Linked DNA regions of Anolis sagrei. The protein of the gene in region 3 purifies or fractionates together with the protein of the main gene of each other region. This does not show direct contact. Links are inferred from orthologs where the notes say so. Each region holds a gene or a part of one and is shown on either strand. Other genes may lie near its edges.

What was found. Proteins that work in one complex are often made in the same cells at the same time.
Region 1: the proteins of SUV39H1 (region 3) and EHMT1 purify together in Homo sapiens (co-immunoprecipitation; 3 studies listed by BioGRID and IntAct, with this or other methods). This does not show direct contact. The link is inferred for Anolis sagrei from reciprocal best matches to the Homo sapiens genes SUV39H1 and EHMT1.
Region 2: the proteins of SUV39H1 (region 3) and MECOM purify together in Homo sapiens (affinity purification with western blotting; 3 studies listed by BioGRID). This does not show direct contact. The link is inferred for Anolis sagrei from reciprocal best matches to the Homo sapiens genes SUV39H1 and MECOM.

Annotation. Positions count from the first base shown.
Region 1 is NC_090031.1:9,330,119-9,337,143, reverse strand, and holds the start of EHMT1 (histone-lysine N-methyltransferase EHMT1), read right to left. Parts: upstream 3,109-7,025; 5' UTR 3,063-3,108; coding exon 3,042-3,062; intron 1-3,041. UniProt on the Homo sapiens protein: Histone methyltransferase that specifically mono- and dimethylates 'Lys-9' of histone H3 (H3K9me1 and H3K9me2, respectively) in euchromatin.
Region 2 is NC_090023.1:251,574,782-251,581,719, forward strand, and holds the start of MECOM (histone-lysine N-methyltransferase MECOM), read right to left. Parts: upstream 3,109-6,938; 5' UTR 2,875-3,108; coding exon 2,838-2,874; intron 1-2,837.
Region 3 is NC_090022.1:194,074,887-194,082,735, reverse strand, and holds the start of SUV39H1 (histone-lysine N-methyltransferase SUV39H1), read right to left. Parts: upstream 3,019-7,849; 5' UTR 2,932-3,018; coding exon 2,913-2,931; intron 1-2,912. UniProt on the Homo sapiens protein: Histone methyltransferase that specifically trimethylates 'Lys-9' of histone H3 using monomethylated H3 'Lys-9' as substrate. Also weakly methylates histone H1 (in vitro).

The DNA.
Region 1 (7,025 bases), on a different chromosome or scaffold from region 3:
ATAGCTCTCGTTTGCTGTGACATACTGTGGTTTTGTGTCATAATAATACTAATAATAATAATAATAATAATAATAATAATTTATTTATATACAGCTCTATATCCCCGGGGGGACTCAGGGCAGGTTCCAAGCAACAACATCAAAACAAACAGAGTCACAACATAAACAAAAAATAACAGTAACATGAAATTACCCAACAACACATAAATATTAAAAGAAAAAATCCTGCCTGCTCTTTATGTCTATTTGTTAGGGCATGGGAAAGGAATGGGTCAAGACAATTAAAAAGGCTGGGTCAGGACTGATACAAATCGAAATAAGATAGGACCGGCATTTGGGTACGGTACTGTAATAGGTAAACGACAAAAGCGGGGACGGGCTATTGTAAACATGTTCAAGAGCCCGGCCAGTGTCCTCCACAAACACAACATTGTCTACCACCCAATTGAAGGCTTTCATTAGGAGACAAATCCATCCTAAATTTTATGTGTTTCCTCCACCACAGACATCCCAGTGTTTCTGACTCTCTCCATTGATGTGGAATTTGCATGACCTCGCCCACTGCCTCTCCCTTAACCTTTTCCTATTATTTTCTATAGCACACAGAAAACAGAGGAACTGATCAGCAACTGAGCATACTAGAGAGGTTTGGGGAGAATTCACCATGATTTCTACGAGGTGTAGTCACTGCAATCTAAGAACCGCACTCTGAACTCCACCAATGATGGACCTGGAACTAACTTGGCACACAGAACCCTCATGACCAACAACAAATACTAGAGGTCTTTGGAGGGATTTAGAGGAGTTGTAGTCCACCCATATCCACAATAATAATAATAAGAATAATAATAGTAATAATAATAATATATCCACTATGAACCCAAACAATGATGGATCTGGACCAAACTTGGCGTGCATACCCGATGTGCCCAAATTTGAATACTGGTTAATTTTGGAGGGGAATTGGCCTGGGCATTTTGGAGTTGCAGGTACTGGGATGTATAGTTCACCTGCAATCCAAGAACTGCACTCTGAACTCCACCAATGGAACTAACTTGACACACAGAACCCTCATGACCAACAACAAATACTAGAGGTCTTTGGAGGGATTTAGAGGAGTTGTAGTCCACCTATATCCACAATAATAATAATAATAATAATAATAATAATAATAATATATCCACTATGAACCCAAACCATGATGGATCTGGACCAAACTTGACGTGCATACCCAATGTGCCCAAATTAGAATACTGGTTAGTTTGGAGGGGAATTGGCCTGGACATTCTGGAGTTGCAGGTACTGGGATTTATAGTTCATCTGCAATCAATGAGCACACTGAACGCCACCAAAGATAGAATTGGACCAAACTTGGCACACAGGGCCCCCGTGACCAGCAAAAAATACTGGAGATCTTTGAGGAAAATTCACCTTGATTTGGGGGAGTTGTAGTCCTCCTATATCCACAATAATAATAATAATAATAATAATAATAATAATAATATCTACTATGAACCCAAACAATGATGGATCTGGACCAAACTTGGCATGCATACCCGATGTGCCCAAATTCGAATACTGGTTAGTTTGGAGGGGAATTGGCATGGACATTATGGAGTTGCAGGTACTGGGATTTATAGTTCATCTGCAATCAATGACCACACTGAACTCCACCAAAGATAGAATTGGACTAAACTTGGCACACAGAGACCCTCATGGCCAGCAAAAAATATTGGAGATCTTTGAGGAAAATTCACCTTGATTTGGGGGAGTTGTAGTTCACCTATATCCACTATAATAATAATAATAATAATAATATATCCACTATGAACCCAAACGATGATGGATCTGGACCAAACTAGGTGTGCATACCCGATGTGCCCAAATTCGAATACTGGTTAGTTTGGAGGGGAATTGGCCTGGACATTCTGGAGTTGCAGGTACTGGGATTTATAGTTCATCTGCAATCAATGAGCACACTGAACTCCACCAAAGATAGAATTGGCAAACAATGATGGATCTGGACCAAACTTGGCGTGCATACCCGATGTGCCCAAATTCGAATACTGGTTAGTTTGGAGGGGAATTGGCATGGACATTATGGAGTTGCAGGTACTGGGATTTATAGTTCATCTGCAATCAATGAGCACATTGAACTCCACCAAAGATAGAATTGGACTAAACTTGGCACACAGGGCCTCCATGACCAGCAAAAAATACTGGAGATCTTTGAGGAAAATTCACCTTGATTTGGGGGAGTTGTAGTTCACCTAAATCCAGATAACACTGTGAACCCAAACAAAGATAAATCTAGACCAAACTTGGCACAAATACCTGATATGATGAAATGTTTTTCCTGGAGGGGTTTGGGTGGAATTGATCTATCTATAGATCATTAGATAGTTAAATTGAAGATTCCTCCCAATTGAGTAACTCAACCAGCCTTCTGGAAACAGCAAAAAATGAATGAACTCTCATAAAAGGAACTCTGAGAGGCCCGCAAGCTGAATGGCCCATAAGGACGGCGGGGCCCCGCACTCTGAATAATATTCAGGACTATTTCCATCTGCCCTCCCTGCTTGTTTGACTGGCCACGCCCCCTCCGCCCAGGCCCCGTACCGAGCATGGCAATGCGCCAAGAGAGCTTGGGGAGCCGCCATCTCCACCCGGGACTCTGCATAACCATAGCAATACAGCGAACCCCGGAATCAGCATGGCTTTCATGCGTTTGTGGAATGGCGGGGAATAACTCTGTTTTGGTTATGCAGGGTTCCGGGTTGCTCTGATTTAAACCCTCCTCCCCCTCTCCACACAATGGGAGCGGCCCAGCGTCAGCCTTTCCTCATAGAGGATGGGCTGAACCATGAAGGCCAGAGGGGGAGCGGGGAGGAGCAACGGCAGAGTTCGGGTGGAAGGCGCTTCATTTTGGGAGATACCAATTCGCAGCCCGTTGTATTTCAATCCCAGCTTTCGCTTAGTGGCCATCCCCGCCTCCCCCCGCGCCTGAAGAGAAGTGGATGCGGCCGGCGCTTTGCACTCACCTTCGACTCCACTGTAGCCATGGCCCGGGCAGCCTCGGAGCGCAAGCCCCGCCCCCTTTTTCGAAGCCTCCTGTGCGCGCGGCCCTCCCTCTTGGCCCCGCCTTCCCGGCCATTCATTGGCCAGCGGGGAGCCGGCGCGCGCTGTCCGGAAGTGAGCCCACGCACGCTGTCATGGCGGCGCCTAGTGGGTGGGAAGGGGCTTTTTCCGTACAACATGGCGGAGTTGCAAAAAGCAAGAGGAAAAAGAGAAAATGAAATAATGAAATAATGGTATTTATATATATATACATATATATATATATATATATTATTGTATATAATATATATATAAACATAACTATATATAATTTTATATGTTAAATTATATATATTATATATAATTATATATAATTTTATTTTTAACATAAATATATATAATTTTATATTAATATATAGAGATCTATATATTAATGTACAGTTAATATAATAATGCTATCATTAATGTATTAATGTATATGATTAATATAAAGACTTATGTTTTAATTTATATATATATATATATTAATATATAAAATAATCCTGTAATTAATGTAATAATATACACAACTAATGTATAATTATATATTAATTCATATATATATTACTAACTTTCTATGTCATTAATATTATAATATTATATAATAACACTATTATATATATTATATAATAACACTATTATATATATTATATATATAAAAATGCTATAATTAATATGTTAATATACTTAACTAATATATAATTATATATTAATATACATATATATTACATATCTTTCTATGTAATTAATATAATATTATATATTATTATTAATATAATCGACATGATATATTAACATACTTTGAAATGAATTAATGGTCTGATGAATATATATAAATGATGTAATAATTGATATTATAAAATAATTTAATAGAAATATATTCGCATTTTTAAAATGAAAACTGGTTTAATTTATATATATAATTATGTATATTAATTTATATTCCCTGTAGTCACCTACGGATGTGAGAGCTGGACCTTAGGGAAGGCTGAGCGAAGGAAGATCGATGCTTTTGAGCTGTGGTGTTGGAGGAAAGTTCTGAGAGTGCCTTGGACTGCGAGAAGATCCAACCAGTCCACCCTCCAGGAAATAAAGCCCGACTGCTCACTGGAGGGAAGGAGACTAGAGACAAAGTTGAAGTCCTTTGGCCACATCATGAGGAGACAGCAAAGCCTAGAGAAGACAATTATGCTGGGGAAAGTGGAAGGCAAAAGGAAGAGGGGCCGACCAAGGGCAAGATGGATGGATGGCATCCTTGAAGGGACTGGACTGACCTTGAAGGAGCTGGGGGTGGTGACGGCCGACAGGGAGCTCTGGCGTGGACTCGTCCATGAGGTCACGAAGAGTCGGAGACGACTGAACGAACGAACAACAACAACAATACTATTATATATATTATATATAAAATGCTATAATTAATATGTTACTATACATAACTAATATATAATTATATTAATATATATTACATATCTTTCTATGTAATTAATATTATATAATATAATCAGTAATATAATCGACATGATATATTAACATACTTTGAAATGAATTAATGGTCTGATGAATATATATAAATGATGTAATAATTGATATTATAAAGTAATTTAATAGAAATATATTATCTTTTTAAAATGAAAACTGGTTCAATATATATATATATATATATATATATATATATATATATAATTGATATAAATATTATAAAATAATATTGCTATTATAATACAAATATAATATATTAACATTGTATTTTTAATCAAATGATGGTATAATTAATATATTGGTTAACATTATGTTGTGTATAATTAATAATATTTCTATAATGCATTAATATTAATATATTTTAAAATAATAGAGTAGTAAAAGTATAATGTACTTAATAGAGAAATTGATTGAATAATCATTTTCTTTCAAGGGTGTATTTTAAAAATAATGACATTAATCATTATATATTTTTCCTATTTCATATGTTCTATGAGATAATTGATATTAATATTCAATTTCAATCCAATTGTTCTGTTGTAACGTCTAAATGATGTTGTTTTAAGATGGCTAAGGTTCGTAATTTATAGTTATATGTTATTACTTAGAAATTAGGTTTTAGTTTTCACATGTATGTACGCCATTTAATGTTGAGACCCCCAGGGGTGAGTAAATAAATTAATAAATATTAATAATATTGTCAGTATTTTTGACATTGTTTATTCATGATATCCTATAATAATAATAACAACAACAACAATCCTATCTCATCAGCAAAAAACAGGCCCACACTTCCCATTGAGATACTAATAAGTTTATATTTGTTAAAATTGTTCTTCATTTTAATTATTGTATTGTTCTAAAGTGTTTTTTTGCACTACAAATAAGATATGTGCAGTGTGCATAGGAATTCATTCATGTTTTTTTTTTTTCAAATTATAATCCGGCCCTCCAACGGTTTGAGGGACTATGACCTGGCCCTCTGTATAAAAATTTTGTGGAGCCTTGCCATAGACACACAACATATATAGACAGACACAGAGGCAATTTAACTTTTCATGAGGGTATTCTGGCCACCAGGGGAGCTGTTGCTTCACCGTCCATTTGTGACACTGATGAAGTACTTCCTCATTCTTTGCATGCTTGCTGGAGATTTTTATGGCATCATAAATTAGTTACATTAATCTCCCCGCATAGGTGGTACCTAAATTTCCTACTTAACAGATTAACTTTTCATGAGGGTATTCTGGCCACCAGGGGAGCTGTTGCTTCACCGTCCATTTGTGACACTGATGAAGTACTTCCTCATTCTTTGCATGCTTGCTGGAGATTTTTATGGCATCATAAATTAGTTAAATTAACCACCCTGCATAGGCGGTACCTAAATTTCCTACTTGACAGATGCAAATGTCTTTCGGGCTGCAAAGGTTGACAGCAAGCTACACAATTGGTCAGACACTCACTCCGACCCGGGCTGGCTTTGAACTCCTGATCTTGACTCCCAGTCAGCTGCGCCACAATCCCAGTCTTGTGTTCTTGTAACGAACATAAGACGAAACACTCTGAAAATCCTCATGTATCCAAACGCAACACTTCTTGAAGAATCTGGATTGATTCAAACAAGACCTGGACTGCAAGGCTGGCAAATCATGGAAATCCCATTTTGTAATTTGACGCAAAAGGAAAGATCACGAGCCAGCTGTTCATTCAGAGGTCAAACGAAAGCTTTAAATAGAAAAACAAGAAAAGGATCCCATATCCACCTTTTCGGCAAATATGGAATGCATTTTGGTTGTTCTTGCAGCTCAATTTTTGAGAAGCGGACGAACACCGCCTCTTTAGGGGACAAACAACACAACAAGCAACGGGTTACGACGAGGCGGCAATTAACTCTCTCCTTGCGAAAGATGGAGGGGATTCTCAATGCCGGAGGGAGAAATAAATCAAATAAAGCCTCAAATTATGCCGATCACGGCCTTCCTTTGCCCATCGAGAGAAAATGGGTTTCCGATGCGAGTGGTAACAGCAGGCGAGCTTTGCAGGGATTATAATCAGGTGGATTAATCAGCATTCGGAGGGAATCTCGTCTCATTTCAAGGCTCCAAATGCTCTGCTCTTCGCCGTGCCAGGAATGCTTCGGCTTCACACCGATTATCATAGTTTCCATACAAAAATAAATACTACTGTCTCCGTAGAAGCCAGCATTCGGGTGAGACCGTTTATTTGGAAACATCTGGGAGATACCAGATATGAAATGACCTTTGCATCCCATCGTTCCTGCAAGTGTCCCCTTAACTGCTGTATGACAATATTCCAACACCTGGAATATTGTGTCCAATTCTGGGCACCACAATTGAAGAGAGATATTGACAAGCTGGAATGTGTCCAGAGGAGGGTGACTCAAATGATCAAGGGTCTGGATAACAAGCCCTACGAGGAGCGGCTTAAAG
Region 2 (6,938 bases), on a different chromosome or scaffold from region 3:
GGGCAAAAGACGGAAGCTAAACGGGACTAAAGGGAGGAAAGGGGTCGTTTTCCCAGGAACCCAATTAAATCGCCTCTTTTTGCCCCTTTCTCCCGCTCCCACCCCCCAAAATCCGCCCCAATTGCGGTCCTTTCCTCCCCTTCTTCCTGCCGCCCCGTTGCCAACTGCGAAGCAAAGGAAGGAGAAAAGACTGCCACGGAAAATGGAGTGGACACCGGGGCAGGTTTTCCAGAAAGTGGGGGTGGTCCGGCGCTTTTGGAAAAGGGAGGAAGAGCAGAAAGGAGAAAGAAAGGCGTTTCGGAAGCGAGGGAAAGAAACGGCTCTGAGCCGCCGCCGTAAATAAAACTCAGCGCCCGAAGTCAAAGCCTGGCTCGGGTGGCAGCGCTCCAAAGGGCCCACTTTCCACGCGAGATTCTCTCCCGCTCCCGCTCCTTCCAAAAAGCGCGCACCGGGAGAAAGAAGCCGAGAAAGAAGCCTGTGCCGGAGGAGGAGGAGGAACGAGGGGAGAGGGATCCACGCTCTCCAGGCAGGCACCCAGGAGGAGGAACACGCGCGAAAAGAAACCCGTTCGGCCAAGGAAACCCTCCGAAGGAGCCTGGCTCTCTTTCTCCCAGCGGGAGCACTTCTTGGGGGAACAAGGGCCAGCGACACGCGGTTCCCTGGCAAGCGTGGGAAGCAACGGGCCCGGAAAGACACGCAGCCATGGGTCCGGGAGGTTTGGAGAAAGTGGGAGGTGGAGGTGGAGGACGCCGAAGGAAAGGAAGGAAGGAAGGAAGGCGCAAAAGCGGGGGAAAGAGAAAGAGGATATTGATAGGTAGATAGATAGATAGATAGATAGATAGAGATAGGAAAATAGAGAGATAGGAAGATAGGTAGGTAGGAAGAGAGAGAGAAAGAAAAGTAGGAAGATAGGTATAGAGAGAGGAAGATAGAATATAGGTAGCTAGGAAGATAGATAGAAAGAGAGAGAGATAGGAAGATAGGTAGGTAGGTAGATAGATAGATAGATAGATAGATAGATAGATAGATAGATAGATAGATAGATAGATACACAGGAAGATAGGTAGGTAGGTAGGTAGGTAGACAGGAAGATAGGAAGGAAGGAAGATAGAGAGGGATATAGGAAGATAGGTAGGAAGATAAGTAGATAGATAAGAAGATAGATAGAAGATAGGTAGCTAGGAAGATATATAGATAGGAAGAGAGATAGGAAGACAGGTAGGCAGATAGGTAGGTAGGTAGGTAGGAAGGAAAATAGAGAGACAGGAAAATAGGTAGGAAGATAGGTAGATAGATAGGTAGATGATAGGTAGCTAGGAAGATAGGGAAGAGAGAGAGGAAAATAGGTAGGTAGAAAGATTGGTAGGAAGATAGATAGGTAGGAAGATAGAGAGATAGGAAGATAAGTAGGAAGATCGGTAGGTAGGTAGATAGATAGGAAGATAAATAGAAGATAGGTAGGAAAATAGGAAGAGAGAGGTATGAAGGTAGATAGGTAGGTAGGTAGGTAGGAAGATAGATAGGAAGAGAGAGAGAAAGATAGATAGGAAGGTAGGTAGGTAGGAAGATAGATAGGAAGACAGATTGGTAGATAGGTAGGAAGAGAGAGAGAGATAGGAAGATAGACAGAATAGTAGGTAAGAAGATATGTAGGTAGGAAGATTGATAGATAGATAGGAAGATAAATAGGAAGAGAGGTAGGTAGACAGATGATCTAGAAAGGAAGAGAGATGATAGAGGAGAGCCTCAGGTGGGCAAGGAGAGAGAGAGGATCACTTCTAGGGAATCAGAGGTCTTCTTTTCCTCTATAACTGACACACACCCCCACAAGCCTCGTCCTCCCACTCATAGAAAAGGTCTGCTATTTGGGGGAGATGACCCCTGACCTTTGGGCTGCTCCTGCAACTTTTCAAGCCCCCCTCCCCTTCCGCGGCCTCGCGTGGCGGGGCCCTTTTTGCACGTGGGAAGGAACAGAAAGGAAAAAACAGGGACCAGAGGGACCAGGCAAAGTTCCTGGACTTGATGCGGGGAAAAAGAGGGGAGGTCCTTCGGGGGTGGGCAGAGGCGTGGAGGGGAGGCATGCCCACAACCCCCCCCCCCAAGGGACCCCCAAAGACAGGGAACAACACAAGGAGAAGAGGGGGAAGCATCATGGGGGGGGGGGGGAGAGAAGCTGAGCTCTTATCCGCTGCAGCGTTAGCAGTCCTTCCTCTTCTTCCTCCTCCTCCTTCAAGACCTGCTTGAAGCGCGCCCCCGCCTCCTTCCCTCCCTCCCTCCCTCCCTCCCTCCCTCCGCGCTGCAGGTTGTTGTGCCCCGTGCGCGCTCCCGCTGCCCTCGCCTCTGGCTGAAACCAAGCCCGCAGCGCCCACTAGAGGCAGGCGGCGCCTCTGCACCCTTCTCCCTTTTTCTTCCCTCCAGCAGTTCTTTCCTCCCAACTTGCCACCCGGCTCTCTGAACTTTTGCTCAACTCTTTACTCCGGTGCGGTTGCTGAAGTTCAGCTGCGATCTTCTCCCCTCTAATCAGAAACCCCACGCAGGACAGGGAAGCCAAGGAGCCTTTCAAACGCAAGGAAAGACTGCCCTTAGCCGAGCAAAGAAAATGGACCGGGGGGAAAAAGAGCGGCGTTTGTTGTTGTTGTCCCGCCACCCGAAGAGTGGATGGAGGCTTTGCAAAGAGGGCCAGGGAGGGGTCTTAAAGGGTTGTGTGTGTGTGCAGAAGGGTCTCCCCCCTCCCTGCCCTTCCTCCCTCCTTCCAGACCCTCTCAACCCACTCCCCCCCCCAAGCCCTCCCCAACCCCGGGATGCCGCCAGCGAGAAAAGCGCGCTTTTGCACCTACTTGTGGCCAGTTTCCTCGCCCTGGCTTTGGATCGCATTGCTGCCCAGTCCGGTGGAGGTTGCTTGGAGGGAGGGAGGGGGCCAAACCGGAGAGGGAGGGGGGAGGAAGAAGAAGATGACCGGTGAGCCCCCCTCCTCTCTTTTCCCCCTCCTTCTCCTCCCTCTTGCTCTTTCTCTCTCTCTTTTTCTCCCTCTTTCTTTCGCCCTCCTCCACAAGCCACTCTTTCCTGCAACAGCCCCAAAGCTCGCTATCTCTCCAGCATTGTCAGTTTGGACACCTTCGCACATGCGCAACAGCGGCTTCTCTCTCTCTCCCCCCTTCCCTCTCCCTCCCCCCCCCCCCCCCTTTCGACAATCTCCTTTTCGCCGCCAAAAAAAAAAGTTTGGAGAGATCTTTCACTTTGGGATTTTAAAGGGAGGGAAGATTCTCCCAAAGCCTAAAGGGAAGCTTCCTCCCTTCCTTTGCCCAGAGAAAGTTGGAAGGACTCCGCTGTGTAGATGCCCCGCTTTCGAACCGCGTTAGAAACCGGGCAAGGCGTGAATGATGCCTGGATGCCAACTTCCTGCCTTTCCTTGCTTCTTGTTTGCTTTTTTGAGTCTTTTCCTTCCCGTCCGATCCAGCCTTTTTCAGTCAACACACTTTTATTTTATTTTATTTTATTATTATTTATTTTATTTTTATATTATTATATTATATTATATTATATTATATTATATTATATTATATTATATATTTTATTTTATTATTATTTTATTTTATATTTTATTATTTTATTATTTTATTATATTATTTTACTTTATTATTATTTATTTTATTATTATATTATATTATATTATATTATATTATATTATATTATATTATATTATATTATATTATATTATATTTGGTGCAGCCCAGATCCTAGACCTGGAAACCTCCCTTCTCTAAAGCTGGATCTTTGGACTTCAAATCCCACCCTCCAGATGCTTTGGACTTTAACTCCCATCATTCCTAACAGCCTCAGGCCCTTTCCTTTTCAGGAAGGGGCCTGTGGCTGTTAGGAATGATGGGAGTTGAAGTCCAAAGCACCTGAAAGGCCCAAGTTGTCCCATGCCCATATTATGCACCATATAGCTATGTAGCTCCTTACCTAGTTAGGTTCCTCCACTCTGCAGAATTAATCCAGTTTGACCTCACTTTCGCTGTGCTATGGAATAAAGAGTTGCAGTCTAGTGAGGTATCAGCACTCGTTGGCATAAAAGACTGGAAAACTACAACTCCCATCCTCCCCTAGCACTAAGGCAAAGTACTTACTGAGTCATGTTAAATTGCATCCATTCTACAGTGTAGGTGCGCCCTCAGCTTGTTTGTTTGGTGGTCTTTTTTTCTTCTCGTGGGAAAAAACACCCGTGGGTAGTTTTCTCGTCCTCTCCTACTTCCTAAGTCAGGTTAAACTGCATCCATTCTAAAGTGTAGGTGCGCCATCAGCTTGCTTGTTCGATGGGCTTTTTTCCACGCATGGGAAAAAAACACCAGTGGGTAGATGACAACAATTCCCGTCCTCTCCTAGCATTGAGGCAGGGCACTTGCTAAGTCATATTAAACTGCATCCATTCTACAGTGTAGATGCACCATCAGCTTGCTTGTTCGATGGGCTTTTTTCTACGCATTGAAAAAAAAAACACTCGTGGGTAGGTGACAACAACTCCCGTCCTCTCCTAGCATTAAGGCAAAGTCATATTAAACTGCATCTATTCTACAATGTAGATGCGCCCTCGAGATATTTATTTTCCTTCGCGTGGAAAAAAAACCCACTCGTGGGTAGACTACAACTACTCCCGTCCTCTCCTAGCATTGAGGCAGGGCACTTGCTAAGTAATGGTAAACTGCACCCATTCTACCCATTCTACAGTGTAGATGCGGCCACAGCTTGTTTGTTTGGCGGTCGTTTTTTTTCTTCTCGTAAGAAAAAAACACCCGTGGGTAGATGACAACAACTCCTGCCCTCCCCTAGCATTGAGGCAGGGCACTTGCTAAGTCATCTTAAACTGCATCCATTCTACAGAGTAGATGCGGCCACAGCTTGTTGGTTTGGTGGTCTTTTTTCTTCGCGTGGGGAAAAAAACACCGGTGGGTAGACGACAACAACTCCCGTCCTCCCTCCCATCAGAGAGAGCTGATGATGTGGAAAGAAGGGACAAATAGTTTCGCCTATGCTTGTCGATTTTGTTTGTTTGTTTGGTCTCCTTCCCTTTGCGTGGAAAAAAACACTCGTGGGTAAATGACAACATTGTTTCTTCTAAGGGAAATTGGGTTTTGGGTTCTCTCCTTTCCTATGAGGCAGAGAGAGGGGTGATGTGGAGAGAAGGGAAAAAGGGGTTCAGCTCAGCTTGTTATTAAGGATGTTTGTTTGTTTTATTTCCTTCACGCGTGGGTAGATAAGAGAATTGTTTCTTCTAGGGGAAAATTGGTTTTGGGGTCTCCCCTTTCCTAGGAGGCAGAGGGAGGGGTGATGCGAAGGGAAGAGGAGGTTCCAGTTTTACACCGTGTCAGGAGCGACTTGAGAAACTGCAAGTTGCTTCTGGCGTGAGAGAATTGGCCGTCTATAGGGACGTTACCCGAGGAATGTGTTACCATCCTTTGGGAAGCTTCCAATTGCTCCACCTGGGGCTCCAATGGGTTTAGGCATATGGCATTAATATTATAATACTCTGAAAAAGCTATACAGTCGTTCAATACACATAAACAAGGTACCGAGGTTACAATGGAAAAACCTACTTAATTTGAGAATTGACGGGAAGTCTTTCTACTAAAAATATATCGAATTATTGGTATTGCCTCCCTTTTTCTCTGTCCTTTTCTACCCTCTATGACACAGTAATGAAAGAAAAGAGTTTCCCATCCGTTTGAATGGCCGAGGAGGGCTTCTTCTTTGAGGCAGGAATCCAACCCGAAGGAAAATAGTATGTATTTCGCTTCCGAACAGCCTCTTCGCCCTCCATGGTTTTGCTCAGCCCACGCTAAGATTAATGCCCTCAATAAGATCGTTTGCAAAAGCCTCACGAAAGGAGATGACCATATGGTCAATGCAGAGCAATACAGTTTGATACCGCTTTAATTGCCAAGGTGTAGAATCCTGGCATTTGTAGTTTGATAGGACAGAAGTGATCCAGTTCCAGAAGTCAATGTACAGCAGCTGTTTCTTGGTCTCAGGCTGGATCTACACCGCCATTTAGTCTACTTTCCGAATCCGGATTATATGCGTCTACGCTGTTGTATAATCCGGTTCAAATCAGATAATCTGGATCCATAAGGCTTTGGGAAGAAGTGACCTCGTCCCAGAAGTGAATGCACAGCAACTGTTTCTTGGGCTCAGGCTGGATCTACACCGCCATGTAGTCCGGTTTCTGAACCCGGATTATCTGACTTGATTATATGAGTCTACACTGCCGCGTAATCCGGTTCGAAGCAGATAATCTGGATCCAGCACGCTTTGGGAAGAAGTGACCTACTTCCAGAAGTGAATGTACAGCAACTGTTTATTGGGCTCATGCTGGATCTACACCCTATTTAATCCACTTTCTGAATACGGATTATCTGCCTTGAACCGGATTATATGAGTCTACACTGCCGTATAATCCGGTTCGAAGCAGATAGCCTGGATCCAGAACGCTTTGGGCAGAAATGACTTAGCTCCAGAAGTGAATGTACAGCAACTGTTTATTGGGTTCAGGCTGGACCTACACCGCCATGTAGTCCGGTTTTTGAATCCGGATTGTCTGCCTCGAACCGGATTATATGAGTCTACACCGCCGTATAATCCGGTTCAAAGCAGATAATCTGGATCCTGGGCGCTTTGTGCAGAAGTGACCCCTTTCCAGAAACCAATGTACAGCAATTGTTTCTTGGGCTCAGGCTAGATCTACACCGCCATGTAGTCCGGTTTCTGAATCTACACTGCCATGTAGTCCGGTTTCTGAACCGAATTATCTGCCATGAACCTGATTATATGCGTCTACACTGTTGTATAATCCGGTTCAAAGCAGGGTCCAGAAGTGAACGTAGAGCAACTGTTTCTTGGGCTCAGGCTGGATCTACACCGCCATGTAGTCCGGTTTCTGA
Region 3 (7,849 bases):
ACATGGGAGAAGCCTCTCACAAGGATGGTAAAACATCAAACATCCCGGCGTCCCCTGGGCAACATCCTTAAGGATGGCCAATTATCTCACACAAGAAGTGACTTGCAGTTTCTCAAGTCACTCCTGACACAAAAATAAAATATATATATAATGAAATTATGTGTACCACAGCTGGAAAACCTAGCAAAGCCTTTAGGAAATTTGTTTCAAACAGTTTGCCTTTCACCTGCAAAATCTTCATTCTTTTCAAGCCAATAAAGTTGAAAACACTCGGCTGAAGATCAGCACTAAATACGATCTGGGTGAAAGGTTAGGTATCATTGTGATTTGGCATCACCACAACATTATCCACTCCAGATATTTGTGATCATGGTGACTTTAAAATATTATATGCAAGTAATTAATTTTTGAAGAATGTGTCTTGTTGTGGTTACAAGGATTGGTGAGGAAGCTTCAGTTGAGACACCTTTGTCCTCATGATAACTCTTTCGGGATGCAGTTTCCCTTCTGAGGCCCCTTCCACACAGCTGAATAAAATCCTACATTATCTGCTTTGAACTGGAATATATGGCAGTGTGGACTCAGATAATACAGGTCAAAGCAGATATTGTGGGATTTTCTGCCTTGATATTTTGAGTTATATGCCTGTGTGGAAGGGCCTTGGGGGTTGATTTCTGTCACTTCATGTTGTCTCAGCCCCATTCTTAACTATGAGTGGTTTGTAAATTGGGGACTGCCGGTGATGCCAATTCCCTTCTTTACTCTTTGAAAGAGGAATCAAGATTTCTGGTGGTTCTTCAAGATCCACCAGTGTGGTTGTCTATGGTCAGCATTAATAAATGATGGAAGATCCACCATGGTCAATTGGCTCAAACAAAGAACTGGTCAATGGCAATGTCTACTAGGGGCCTCATCACACTAGTGAATGAATCCACTTTAAATCCAGTTTCTGCCTCCTGCAGAATTCTTGGGTTTGTAGTTTAGTGAGGCTGTTAAAGTTTCCTCCCTAAACTACAAACCCCAGAATTCTGCTGGAGGCAGAAAACAGATTCAAAGTGGATTCATTCTCTAGTGTGATGTAGTAGTTCTATTCCACTCCTGTTGCTGAATCCCGGGAAATAATTATAATGCTAAAAATGTTTTTAGATTGCAAACCTGGAAACAGGAGCAATCTTCCCTCCTTCAAAGTTTTATATGCTATTATTGTTGCAGACTTGTGCCCCTTCCACACAGCTGAATAAAATTTCACATTATCTGCTTTGAACTGGAATATATGGCAGTGTGGGCTCAGATAATCCAGTTCAAAGCAGATTTTCAGCCTTGATATTCTGGGTTATATGGCTGTGTGGAAGGGCCCTGAGTCCAAACAGACATATAACCCAGTCCAAACAGATGTGGGATTTTATACAGATATGTAGAAGGGCCCTTGGACGTAGAAGAGTGGGTCAAACAAAATTTTGTGTCCCCCCCCCCCCCCCCGCCCCGACTCTGGAACTCTCTACCTAAAGATATCAGGCAAGCCCCCACTTTGGCTATCTTTAGGAGGAGCTTGAAAACATGGCTTCCCTGATTAAAGGAAATAATGCCCTATCTGACCAATTTCCTTCTATATGTCCCCTGAAGCACTTTATCCATTGGATTGATCCCCCCATATCACACTTTAAAAACCCCATGCCTAGACATACCCTACTCTGTACACGCCCATGGTTTTAAACTTTTAATCTACATCTGGCCCTGCCATTAAATCTTTTGCATGTTATTGCTTTGCTTATATGTTCAACTGTATTATTTATATTGTTTTATTTGCTTGCTTGTTTGTCGATGTATTGTTGTATTTGTATTTGACAGGCTTGGCCTCATGTAAGCCACGCCGAGTCCCTTCGGGGAGATGGTGGCGGGGTATAAATAAAGTTGTTGTTATTATTATTATGTACCTCAGCAAAATCATTGTGAGGCGAGTTTCACGTCAGAAGGTTGTCCTGAAGAGTTCCACGAGTTCTCCTACTCTCTGAGGATAGTAAGGGGTTGTTGTAGGTTTTTCGGGCTATATAACCATGTTCTAGAAGCATTCTCTCCTGACATTTCTCTTGCATCTATGGCAAGAATCCTCAAAACCTCTGAGGATGCTTGCCATAGATTCAGGCGAAACGTCAGGAGAGAATGCTTCTAGAACATGGTCATATAGCCCGAAAGACCTACAACAACCCAGTAATTCCAGCCACGAAAGCCTTCGACAATACAGAGTAAGGGCCCTTCCACACAGCCCTATATCCATGGCAGAAAATCCCACATTATCTGCGTTGAACTGGAATATATGGCAGTGTGGACTCAGATAACCCAGTTCAATGCAGATATTGTGGGATTTTCTGCCTGGATATTCTGGAGTATAGGGCTGTGTGGAAGTACCCTAAGGGATAGACGCACATGGTGGAAAGCACGCCAGAGGGGGAAAGATGAGGAGGGCGGAAATGTGAAGAGGGCACAAAAAGGGTCTCCAGGAGCGTCGTGTCTGCTGAGGAGAGGCATAGAGTCGAACAGGGAGGCACATGAACTGCCTCTGTGAGGAACTTGGAACAACATTGGATCCTCTGAGCGGGAAACGCAGCCAAGGTGGCCCCGCTCAAAGGTTGCCCGTTCCCCTTGCCCTCTCCTCAGGGTTCCCTATCCCTATCCGCTTTCCGCCTTTCCTTTTTCCCGCTCTCTGCCACGTCCTGCGCCGCCTCACTCCCTCCCTCGCGCGCTCCCCGCCCCGTAACGGTCGCCGCCGAACCTCCGCCTCGCGCCGCTCTCAGACCGCAGCGCTCATTGGCTCTCGGCTTCCACCCGCCGAACCCCAGGTTCCCAAACGAGGGGTCTCGCGCAAAGCTAGCCCGGCCCGGCGCGCGCGCGCGGCGGCGGCGGTTTCCACTCACCTTTTAAATTTTCCGCCATCTTGCGCCTCTTTTTTTCCCCCCTCCCCTTCCAGTCACTGAGGCCGCCAGAAACTTTTCATCCCACTGGAGGAAGAGAGGCGAGTTGGGGGCGGGGCCAGAGAGGGAGGCGGGAGCAGTGGCGCTGTCTGATTGGCTGCCCTTCAGCCTCAGCCCCGCCGCCCGCCCAATAGGAAGTCAAGGAGCGTTTCTCGTCCTTCTCGTCCCTAACTAGATTTATATTGCTGGGCAGCACCTTCCTGCCACTGGGCGTGAAGGGGAATTGGGAGTCCCTGAGAGCTCTTTTTCTTTTCAGTTTTTACACGCGCAAACATTTAATATATAAAGTGTTGGTGTGTATGTATGTGTGAGTGTGTGTGTGTGTTCTGTCGCAACTGGACCTGAAATGAAGTGCCTTTAAGAGAGGATGTATGGCTTGGATCCAGTGGGAAGCCAGGGCCCCCGAAAAGAAGCCTTTAGAGAAATTTCCCTTATTAAACAGTCTTTATGAGGCTTGAGCTTAAATATAACAGTCTTTTATTGATGAACAAACAAGAATTGTAAAGTTTTCTAAACAGTCTCTTAGCTCTTGCAATCTTGTTCACAGGGAACAGGCACTATCTTCAAAAACCTTGTTCAAAGGAAAATTCCCCTTTCTAGCTCCTCCCAGGCTGCTGTGAACCTAAACCTAACTGATTTGAATCCACTACCGGCTGAACTGCGTCTCAGAACCAAGTAGACGTACCAACAGGCCTGTAATCACTTAGCTCAGTGGTTCTCAACCTGGGGTCCCCAGATGTTTTGGACTTCAACTCCCAGAAATCCTAACAGCTGGTAAACTGGCTGGGATTCCTGGGAGTTGTAGGCCAAAACACCTGGGGACCCACAGGTTGAGAACCACTGACTTAGCTGCTTTGATGGTTAGAGCTGTAATTCCCTCCGGAATTCCTCAGGGCTGTAAGGCTGTTTCCCCGGAACCTTTGGGAATCTTTAGAGGCTCTCAAGACTGTTCTCCCCCAGACTAAGCCTTTGCACAGGAGGACGTCTGTATACATCCTCTGCATTGACTTCCTTTGCTGAGACTAACTGAAAGATGGCCCCTTCCCTCCAAAAAACCCAGAGAGGGGCGGGACCAGGGATCCTAACTATAATTGACAGGTGGCTTGCCCTATGAATGCAGCCAAAGGAAGCCACCTATATACAAAGTCCCTGCAACTTAGGACTATGAACTCAGTGCAAAACACAAAATTGGAGCCACTGGAACAGGCGCTCCAGGACAGTGCATATATATATATATATATATATATACACACACACACACACACACACACACACTAGCTGTCCCCTGCCACGCGTTGCTGTGGCTTGGTCTGTGTAGATGTATTTTGTGTCTATATATATTTGTGTATATATGTGTGATATTGCGTTTTGGTTTTTTGTTTTGTTTTTTGTTTGGCTTTTAAAGTCCCTTCTGCTGTGTTTTTCATTGTGTCCAAGTTTGGTGTCAATTCATCCAGTGGTTTTTCAGATATATATATATATATATATATATATATATATATATATATATGGTAAAGGTTGTCCCTTGATATGAAGTCCAGTCATGTCTGACTCTGGGATGTGGTGCTCATCTCAATTTCTAAGCCAAAGAGCCAGCGTTGTCCATAGACAACTCCAAGGTCATGTGGCCAGCATGACTGCCTGGAGCGCTGTTACCTTTCTGCTGGAGCAGTACCTATTGATCTACTCGCATTTCCATGTTTTTGAATTGCTAAGTTGGCAGAAGTTGGGTCTGACAGCAGTTGTTCCTGTGACCTTTCGGTCAACAAGCTCAGCAGCTCAGTGCTTTAATCCACTGCGCCACCAGGGGCTCCATATATATATAGACACATCCAAGGTCATGTGGCTCCATTTATATATATATATATATATATATAGGAACCCCCCCCCCCGATGGTGCAGTGAGTTAAAGCACTGAGCTGCTGATCTTGTTGACCGAAAGGTCGCAGGTTCGAATTCGGGGAGCGGTGTGAGCTTCCGCTGTCAGACCCAGCTTCTGCCAACCTAGCAGTTCGAAAACATGCAAATGCGAGTAGATCAATAGGTACCGCTCCAGCAGAAAGGTAATGGCGCTCCATGTAGTCATGCCGACCACATGATCTTGGAGGTGTCTACGGACAGCGCCGGCTCTTCGGCTTAGAAATGGAGATGAGCACCAACCCCCAGAGTTGGACTCGACTGGACTTAATGTCAGGGGAAAACCTTTACCTTTATTCTGTGCCTCAGCAAAGACATTCAGTGCAGCGAGTTTCAGCTCAGAAAGTCATCCTGAAGTAATCCACTTGTTATTTAGTGTCAGAAGCGACTTGAGAAACTGCAAGTCTCTTCTGATGTGAAAGAATTGGCTGTCAGCAGAGACGTTGCCCAGAGGACGGCCAGATGTTTTGATGTTTTACCATCCTTGTGGGAGGCTTCTCTCATGTCTCCGCATGGGGAGCTGGAGCTGACAGAGAGAGCTCATCCATGCTCTTCTTGGATTCTGCCCACTGCTGGCCATAGTAACACCTGCGTGGGGCCATAGCAACACCTCTTCGGCCCCGCTGCCTTACAACTCCTGGGCAGAGTGCCTCCATGTGATGTCGAACCTGAATTTAAGGGGTCCTGCTGAGGCAAGGACCAGCCAGACCCACCAAAGAGGATCTGGACACCTGGCGAGACAAGAGCACCCAAAAGAAATTTTTCCCTATTTTTCCAAATCTCACTAAGTTGAAGAAGAAGCCACTGAGATGTTTATTTCATTCCAGCTGGAACAGATATCAAACCGCAATCTTTTGCTCAGAAGCTGACATGAGCCACAAGGCAAAATAACACAGTTTTTATAGGAAATACAGAGCTGTCAAGTTCAAAGTTCTTGCTCCCGCTCCCCTAGCTGGCTTTTCGCTGATTGGTTGGAGTCCTCCGCTGGCTGGGAGGCATGGCCAGCTCAGCTGCGCCTTGCCCAATCAGAGAGCCAGCGTCGCTCTGGCCTCTCAGCCAATGGGAAGAGAGGAGGCGGGTCAAGCGGGAAACAATGAATGGAGAGAAAAAATTATAGGATTAAAATGACGAATATTTGTCTGATCGGTCAGCAATAGTTTAAGCCCTCGAACTGGCCAGGATTATTGTTGAAGTCCTTTGAAAATAACATATTCGCCTACCTCAGGGGCTAGGTTCTTTGTAGCTCAGGGACTAGGTTCTTAACTGATTTATTACATTCAACCAAAAAGTAGTAGAAGAAGGAAGTGCCTGAGAATGCTGTGTTGTGTAAGGAATAATTTATGTAAACCAAACATGTTCTTTCAGCAACCACTAGCAAGGGAGGCTCTTGCAGACAAACAAGGCTCCAAGACTCAGAACTATGCCACCAGAATTACTTAATGATCTACATCCAAATGCTATGGCTGTTTTTTCAGAAGTCTAAATTCAGTGAGAACACACAAAATTGCAACCACAACGGCTTATGAAGCAATACCGTTCAACTTCCCCATTATCTCGTTAGACAATTTTGAAATTTACTGACTTCTCCCAGATTAGCTTCACACAAAAATATAGAATATGAAAGTTGTAAGTGTTGGGGTTCAGCCTGAGTTTGAACTTGAACCTAATTCTCTGTTTGTTCCTCCTGATGCTAATGAAAGTATATTTACTGATGCTAGTGGAAATGTACCTTTTGATGCCAATGCTCCTGAAATTAGTGAGGAAGAAACTGCTGTAGGTTTGGAAAATGAAAGTACCAGTGTTCCTGAGAATGTTTCAGAGGGAGACCTTGAACTTTCCCTCCCTTCTGCACCTGTTAACTGTAATGACAACAGAAGGGGCCAAATTTGGGGAGACAGAAGTAAAACACTCAGTTTGCGTCGATCCTCCCGAATTCAAGAATTAAAAACATTGGCTTCAAAACAGAAGGGCGGTTCACGGAACCAATTCTTGAGTTTTAATTGCCATACGCCAGGCTAATTGCCTCAGTTCAGGCATCGTTTCAGAATTGATGAAGACCTTGGCAGTTCTCCCGGTTCCCTGGTCATAGTTTGGGAAGATTTCTAGGATATCAAGTACGGTTAGTGGATTGCTAACAGATTCCAGTATTTTCCCAGTGAGGCTTTTGGTTTTGCTTTGTCCATTTAAATTCATGTTTGCTGATTTTACTGTGGCTTTTGACTTGCATTTTTCCTTTATTTTGTAACCATTTTTCTTCAATAAAAAAGGATTGTTTTTCACAGCCAAGTGTGGTGGATATCTTAGGGCCTCGTTCCCTGCTCTGGATTGCAACAGTAAGTTGCCGCAAGAGTTGTCTCCATCGCCTTGCTAGCACTGGAATCTACAGTGAAAGCATCACATTGACATGCAACCACCGGGCTCTTGTTTAAAGACTTTCAACGAAGGAGAATTTACCACTTTCCAAGGGAGCCCAATGTCTCACAGCTGTATTATTACAAACTTCTTATCTGGAATCTCCTTACCTATAATTTGAAACCAGTGGTTTGGCTCCTCATCTCAGGAGCAGCACAATACTGTACAAAGGATAATTCCTTCACATTCAAACATGTCACAGTCCCTCAAATATTTGTAAATTGCTTTCATATCAGCTTGCATTTTTCTCTTTTTCCGGGCTAAATCTGATTGCTAGAATATATTTTTAACACAGAACAGCCTCTGCATTAAATGTTTTTACTGGTGACTTGTCATCTATGGATGTATCTACAATGCAGTTTGACACTGATGCTGAAAGCTTGAGGTTTTCCAAGAACCTATGGATACTGAGCACCTCTAACTGTTAATATTCCATGACAGAAATCAGGATGTCACCAGAGTGAAGTTTTATTCAATCTGCAGAAGGGATACTTGTACAACAGCGGGTGTTCAAAGGGTACATGCGTAAAGCACAAGGAAAAAGCAGGCAT